Macaca mulatta: one gene and its partner. The protein of the gene in region 2 interacts with the protein of the main gene of each other region in a pairwise test. Links are inferred from orthologs where the notes say so. Each region holds a gene or a part of one and is shown on either strand. Other genes may lie near its edges.

Region 1 (3,745 bases), on a different chromosome or scaffold from region 2:
TCTGATTTCTCCACTTTCCTGAAGAGATGGGCCTAGAGAGCTGGTAGATTTCGTGCTAGGTCAGGCAGCTGGAAACACAGGTTTAGATCTGGGTCTGGGTCTCCCAGCAAAGCCTTTGCTCACCCAGCCCCGCCCAGGGCCAAACACAGGAGCTTCAGTGTTTCCTGAGCATGGATGGCTTTTGAGTTTTATTAACAAAAATACTCTGGTCCCAGAACAACAGACTGGTGTGGCCTGCACTAGTGGTGTGGGGGTGGGGATTGAGCCCCCCCAAGGGCTCACAGGGGGACCCGGTAGGTGGGGATACTGGTCTGTAGCCCCATTTGGCCAGGCAGAGCCCCTTCCATTCACACGGAGGTGAGAGCCGGGAAGGGGAAGCCGGCCCCAGCTGGACTCCCAGCAGCCTTGGTTGGGCTTTGAAGCCAGAGCGGGGTGGGAGTGAAATCAAGGTGTGAAGTTGTGGGGGGGGGTGGGCAGGCCCAAGGCAGCCATTTGGTGTGGGGGATGGGGCTGGTGGAGGTGAGGGGGCTCCAGGGCTGGGGGAAGGGAGCAGGAGGTTTGTGATGGAGGCAGAGGGGCCCAGCAATGGCTCAGTACATGGGTTTGGAGCCCACATCCAGATAGCCCCCAGGCCCGGGGTATGGTAAAGGGAAGGGGCCCCCTTGGAGAAAGTGCGGGGCAAAGGGTGCCGCGGGTGGAGCCGCTGGGTACCCGGAGCCCCCTGGCCCGGGTGGCAGCTCCAGAAATGCAGCCGAGTAGGGGCCTGAGCGCCCAGAGTCTGGAGCCTCCGGGAAGCTGGGGCTCCTGACATGGGAGAGAAGGATGTCAGAGCAGTGCCGAGGGTCCCGCAGCCCCGCCTGGTCCCCTGTCCCACTCACCTGGTGGGAAGGTGACTGGGGGCCCCGTGGAAAGCCGCAGGATGCATGAGGTAAGCCTCGGCACTGGGGCCACCACACGGAGGTGCCAGGGCAGTGGTGACTTCCCCGGGGGCTGAGGCCTGTTCTGGGTCTGATTCATGAATGTCTCCACCCAGAGTGGAGTCGCAGGGACCACCTGGTGCGTCCGGGGAGAGGGAAGGGAGAGGTTGGGCTAGGGAGGATCCGTGTCTCAGGCCTGGCCCCATCGCCATTGGGACTATACTCACCTCCGCTCCCATAGGCCTCTGTGGCTGCTGGCTCTGGGCCCCGCAGTTTCCTCTTCACACGGGCATCTCGCTCCCTGGGAAACAGTGGTGGTGGTGATGATGATGACGGTGATGGCCATGGTGATGGTAATAACAGTACTTACCCAGTGCCAGGCATTTCACCCTCCCAGGGACCCTGTCGGGTAGGGGCCATCATTATACCCATTTTACAGATGAAACTGAAGGCCAGAAAATTAAATAACTAGAAAGTGGCAGAGCTGGAATTTTGTCCCTGCTCAAGCTTGTCCATGCTTTACTATTGTGTTTAGTATCAATGGAAACTCCTTCCCAGAGGCAAGGCCAGGGCACGGTCTCACCTAGCTCATCCTTCTGCCCCATCTCCACTCTGAGCCTCTCTCTGGAATCCTCTTCTGTCCCCTCTTCACCTGCTGAACCCATCCTTTTTCTTTTCTTTTTTTTTTTTTTTTTTGAGACGGAGTCTCGCTCTGTCACCCAGGCTGGAGTGCAGTGGCTGGATCTCAGCTCACTGCAAGCTCCGCCTCCCGGGTTCACGCCATTCTCCTGCCTCAGCCTCCCGAGTAGCTGGGACTACAGGCGCCTGCCACCTCGCCCGGCTAAGTTTTTGTATTTTTAGTAGAGACGGGGTTTCACTGTGTTAGCCAGGATGGTCTCGATCTCCTGACCTCGTGATCCGCCCGTCTCGGCCTCCCAAAGTGCTGGGATTACAGGCTTGAGCCACCTCGCCCGGCCCCTTTTTCTTTTCATTTTTAAAATTTGAGATGCAGTCTTGCTATGTTGCCCAGGCTGGAGTGCAGTCTGGAGTGCAGTGACATGGTCACAGCTCACTGCATCCTCCGACTCCTGGGCTCAAGTGATCTTTCCATCTCAGCCTCCTAAAGTGCTGTGACTACAGGCATGAGCCACCAAACCTATCCTTGCCTTAGTGCTAGCGCAAGTTCCTCAAGGAAGTCCTCCCTGATCTCCGAGAGCACACACCCCTCCCTCATAACATCTGTCACAGTTATGAGACAGTTAAATGCAAATGCTTTTGCATTTGATGGAGTGACTCCTTGGTTCATGTCTGTCTCTTCTGACAAACTGGAAGCTCCTTGAGGGCAGGGGCCAGCTCCGAGGGGCTACACTTGGAACAGTTCCCACGGCCTTATGGAACCTTTACTGTCCAAGATAACCTGGCTTCCCCTCCCCTGCCTGACTCCTACTCACTCCACTGCAGCCACGCCACAGGCACAGCCCCACCTCAGGGCCTTTGCACGTGCTGTTCCCACTCCCTAGTGTGCTTTGCCAGATGCCCACCCGGCTCCCTCCCATACTTCCTTCAGCTCTTTCTCAAGTGTCTTCTTCCTGCCGAGGCCTTTTCAGGCCTCTTATCTAATAGCTCACCCCAGTCCTTCCTATCCTTTCCTGTTTATTTCTCTTCTCCTTTTTTCCTTTTTTTTTTTTTTGTGACAGAGTTTTCTTTCTTTCTTTCTTTTTTGATACGAAGTTTTACTCTTGTTGCCTAGGCTGGAATGCAATGGCACGATCTCGACTCACTGCAACCTCCACCTCCTGGGTTCAGGAGATTCTCCTGCCTCAGCCTCCCGAGTAGTTGGGATTACAGGCGCGTGCCACCATGCTTGGCTAATTTTTGTATTTTTAGTAGAAACAGGGTTTCACTGTGTTGGCAGGCTGGTCTCAAACTTCTGACCTCAGGTGATCTGCCCGCCTCAGCCTCCCAGAGTGCTGGGATTACAGAAGCAAGCCACCGCACCTGGTCTCTCTTCTCTTTAGAATGGCTTCCTAACAGATGGCATTTTATTTATTTCTCTTGTCTGCTTGTCTGCTGTCCCCACTAGAAATCAGTTCCATCAGGGCTGGGGCTTTGGTTTACTTTGTTTGATTTATCTCCAGTGCCTGGAACTGTCCCTGGCACATAGCAGGTACTATATAAGTATTTGCTGAGTCAGTGAATGAATGTTTTTACTTACCACTGTATTCCTGATGTCCAGCACGGTGCCTGGCACACAGTGAGTGATTAATAAACATTTGTTGAATGCATGAACGAATGAATGAACAACTCCCACCTCTTACAGTTTCTGCCGTTCTCCCGGAAGCCTTTGGCAAAGGGATTGGCTGCAATCTTCAGTTGTGTGATCTGGGGACACACATCCAGGGTCAAAGCAACTGTGGACTGGGCAGGGCGCCACCACCCCCTCAAGCAGGGGCACTCACCCGTGGGTTCTGGTAGGCCGTCACGGAGATGAATGTGGTCTCCGGAAAGCGAAAGGAAGCCATGCCCCCCCAGTGCTGGCTGCAGAGCTGAGCTGCCCGAACTAGGTGTATGCGGGGTTGGTACTTGTGCATGGAGTGCAGGATCAGCTGGGAGGGAGGAAATGGGAGTGATTCCCTGCCCTGTGCCCCAGCCTTGGCCTCCCTTCTAGCACCCCCCAACCCTATCCTAGAGTCCCAGCCTGGGCCTCACGTGGCCGTGGGGGTCCAGCGTGCTGTTGGTGAGCTTGACACGATGGAAAGACACAGGCTGCCTCATCCAATGTGCACCAGTGGCTGGAGAGTCGGGGTGAATGTAGACACGGTCGGGTA
Region 2 (3,745 bases):
AACAGTTCGGATTAGTGGCATGAGCCACTGTGCTGGGTCCAGATTTAGGTTTTATATCATTTCTAAGTTTGCCACATACTAGATTCACACTTACCCTGCTTATAAGACTAATAAAGCAACAAAAAAGTTAAACTGGCGCCGGGCATGGTGGCTTATGCCTATAATCCTAGCACTTTGGGAGGCTGAGGTGGACAGATCACTTGAGGCCAGGAGTTCAAGACCAGCCTGGGCAACATGATGAAACCCTGTCTCTACTAAAATACAAAAAGAAAAAGAAAAAAGAAAAAAAATTAGCTGGGTGTGGTGGCGCACACCTGTACTCCCAGCTACTTGGGAGGCTGAGGCAGAAGAATCACTTCAGCCCAGGAGGTGGAGGCTGCAGTGAGCCAAGATCGTGCCACGGCACTGCAGCCTGGGCTACAGGGAGACTGTCACCTCCCCCCGACAAAAAAAGAAAAAAAAGTTAAACTAGCAACTACCCCTTGTCAACCCCATTTTCATCCATGAAAACGTTAGGATTATAGGATAAGCGCATGCGACAGCCACTGACAATTCTTGGTACAAAAAACTGATGCAAATGGTCCACACCACTTTTGAAAATAAATTTAAAAGTCCTCAAAAAATGGCACGTGGTTCAAGACTTCAGTTTCTCAAAGACAGAAATTTTTGTCTGTTCCACCGTTCTCTTTTGCTTCTCCTAAACAAGTGATACGTATCTATATTATGACAATATTTCAACCAGAATTTTTTTTTTTTTTTTTTTTTTTGAGACAAAGTTTCCCTCTTTTTGCCCAGGCTGGAGTGCAATGGCGCGATCTCGGCTCACCACAACCTCCGCCTCCCGGGATCAAGCGATTCTCCTGCCTCAGCCTCCCGAGTAGCTGGGATTACAGGCATGCGCCACCACCCCGGCTAATTTTGTATTTTTAGTAGAGACGCGGTTTCTCCATGTTGGTCAGGCTGGTCTTGAACTCCCGACCTCAGGTGATCCACCTGCCTCGGCCTCCCAAAGTGCTGGGATTACAGGCATGAGCCACCGCGCCCGGCTCAACCAGATTTTTTTAACAAATACTTTAGGGTTTCATCACAACCTTTACTTCTACTATAAAACAGCATAAGAAGCTATTATTACAGCTGTTTGACAGTTGGGGAAACTATGACATACAACGATGAAGTAATGTGCCCAACGTCTGAGTCACAGAAAAACTGAAACACATATCCTACTCAACTCTTTTTATGTTCTCTAGCAGCTATTTCCTTTCTTCCTGGCATTAGCAAAACAAGCCGACACTGTGTAGGTAAAGGTAACCACAAACTTTTTATTAAAGTAGTAAATTTAGGCCAGGCGCAGTGGCTCAGGCCTGTAATTCCAGCACTTTGGGAGGCCGACGTGGGTGGATCACCTGAGGTCAGGAGTTTGAGACCAGCCTGGCCAATATGGTGAAACTATATCTCTACTAAAGATACAAAATTAGCCGGGCATGGTGGCACACGCCTGTAATCCCAGCTACTCGGGAGGCTGAGGCAGAAGAATCGCTTGAACCCGGGAGGCGGAGGTTGCAGTGAGCCGACATCGCACCACTGCACTCCAGCCTGGGCGACAAAGCGAGACTCTGTCTCAAAACAAAACAAAACCAGTAGGAAATATAAATGAAACAAATTTAAAAAGACCCCTTCAACAGAGTTCGTTACAGGAATGAACACATGCTGTTCCACGGTCAACCCTCTGCTAGGTAAGCTCCTCCCCTCACCCCAGTTTCTTCAGCTGCTGAAAAATTTTCTTCCCACTGCGATCCTTTAAGATTACTGTAGTTATTTCTCCCCAGAAAAAGGAGACAATTTCACTGTCTTCTAATCCAGAATCACTTTTCTCTTTAAATAGGTTATCTCTTTCCAATAGCTTGCTTTTCTGATGACAGCAACTTCCCAAGACTTCCCCAGATAGTCCCCATAGGCTCTAGAAGCAGCTGCCACTTTTCTCTAAACACCAATTGCAGCCCTTGGTTCCCAGCCCCCGTCCCTGGAGTGCGTGCTCTCCTCCCCACCACCCTACCCCACCGCGGCCTCAGGCCCTCCCCCCGCGGCGTCGGCAGCTCGTGCTCACCTCGGCCCCTGACAGGAAGGGGTGCGAAGGCCCTGTGATAGTCAGGTAATTGTCATTTCCTCCGGGAAACTGGAAACCAAAAGAAAGCCGCGGGGATAAGTTAGGGGGAGCAGGGAATTAGCTTGGAGCGATGGCTTCTGACCCCGACATTCTGACAACACTCCCCAAACCCCGCGCTCTCTCCTCTCCCGTCAGTCGCCTCTCCACCCGGCTTCCCGTCTCTGCTTCAACCCGGTCGGCCGCGTTCTCTCGCCAGCCTTCTTAGCTATCAGGTTCCTACCTCCATCTTCACACAACCGCTCCCACCGTCTCAGACCCTCATCGCTCCCACCGCCCCCACTGGTCTCGGAACTGCCGTCACTTCCGCAAGGACGTGCGTTACTCTCTGCTCATTGGAAGGAGCGCCGTGGGGGCTGCAGCGAGTCAGGCGGTGGCCTATCGCCCCCTGGAGCTTGGAGGGATAATGGCATGTAGAAGTACTAGAGGTATCCCTGGAGGTGGCGTTGGGTACTCCCGACCTAAGGAGGATTTCTGGGGAGAGCAATAGAGACGTGATCTGGGCTAGAGGAGCCGGAGAGGGTGGGCGGCCGGGAAGAAGAAGATCGGTAGATTGAGTGGCTAGAGAGGTTGGAGGTAAGTGGCTGTAGAAGTCGGGCGGACCCGGAACCCAGAGGACGCGACATCATGACTTATGCTTATCTCTTCAAGTATATCATCATCGGAGACACAGGTAACCCTCAGGTTGTTCGCCTTCAAGGCTGGGGCGGACGTCCGAAGCTCCCAAATTGGGTGGCGGGGGCGGGGCTCACTTTGTGGGCTGGGCGATTCGAGACGGGCGGGGCGGTTCGGGGCGGCCAGGGGCGGGGCTCGGGGACCCCCCGCTTCTCTGGTCCGGGAAGTCCAGAGTCCGGGTAGTGTTCCAACGCTACGTGACTCTGGGAGCGTGTTTTCTCTTTCAGGTGTGGGGAAGTCATGTCTCCTCCTGCAGTTTACAGATAAGCGGTTCCAGCCTGTCCACGACCTCACAATAGGTAAGTGCATCTACTTGTTCCAGAACAGATAAAACCTGACTAGCTAAATTGCTAAAGTGGAAAGTTAGCAGCCTTCAGTGTTCAAAGTAAAAAGTTATCCCTCACTACTTTAAACTAGTCCAAAGTTATGTTAATGAAGTGGTTAATCAAACGTTGATATGTGGCGAGTAGTGTAAGGGAGAGTATATAATTGAAAGGTAACTTTTTGGAGTGTGAGGTAGAGACTTGTCATATAATTTTTTTCAAGTACAATTTTTTATGTTTATGGAAAATCCCACGAAAGCATAACTGCTTATTTGTAAACTCATCTGTGCTTTGCAGTAAATTAATACCAGCCTTACTTTTAAAAAGTAAACACCAATACATGGACATTTTTTATATTGGTGAAGAAGCAAATTGAAGAGTCATCCCTGCCTTAGAATTAATAGGCAAATAAAACTAAAAACTTTCCTTTTAAATAAAACAGTGTGTTAAACAGTTCCTCATACCCACTGGGGATCCTGGAAAATATTAACATTTCCCACACATTTGTGATAAGGCATAGCCTGAAGGGGCTTTTAGCTACCCCCTCTTCATTATCTCCATAACCCCAGTCCAAATAAACAACATA

What was found.
Region 1: the proteins of TOX4 (region 2) and TBX6 interact in binary tests that used the Homo sapiens proteins (3 or more experiments, as listed by UniProt). The link is inferred for Macaca mulatta from reciprocal best matches to the Homo sapiens genes TOX4 and TBX6.

What each region holds. Positions count from the first base shown.
Region 1 is NC_133425.1:28,475,222-28,478,966, reverse strand, and holds the end of TBX6 (T-box transcription factor TBX6), read right to left. Parts: coding exon 3,627-3,745; intron 3,524-3,626; coding exon 3,377-3,523; intron 3,300-3,376; coding exon 3,229-3,299; intron 1,219-3,228; coding exon 1,145-1,218; intron 1,090-1,144; coding exon of another isoform or gene 1,054-1,089; coding exon 879-1,053; intron 805-878; coding exon 591-804; 3' UTR 161-590; downstream 1-160. UniProt on the Homo sapiens protein: T-box transcription factor that plays an essential role in the determination of the fate of axial stem cells: neural vs mesodermal. Acts in part by down-regulating, a specific enhancer (N1) of SOX2, to inhibit neural development.
Region 2 is NC_133412.1:94,338,024-94,341,768, reverse strand, and holds the start of TOX4 (TOX high mobility group box family member 4), read right to left. Parts: upstream 2,430-3,745; 5' UTR 2,391-2,429; coding exon 2,385-2,390; intron 2,174-2,384; coding exon 2,105-2,173; intron 1-2,104. Other genes in the region: RAB2B (ras-related protein Rab-2B), read left to right, coding at 2,789-2,834, 3,064-3,135. UniProt on the Homo sapiens protein: Transcription factor that modulates cell fate reprogramming from the somatic state to the pluripotent and neuronal fate. In liver, controls the expression of hormone-regulated gluconeogenic genes such as G6PC1 and PCK1.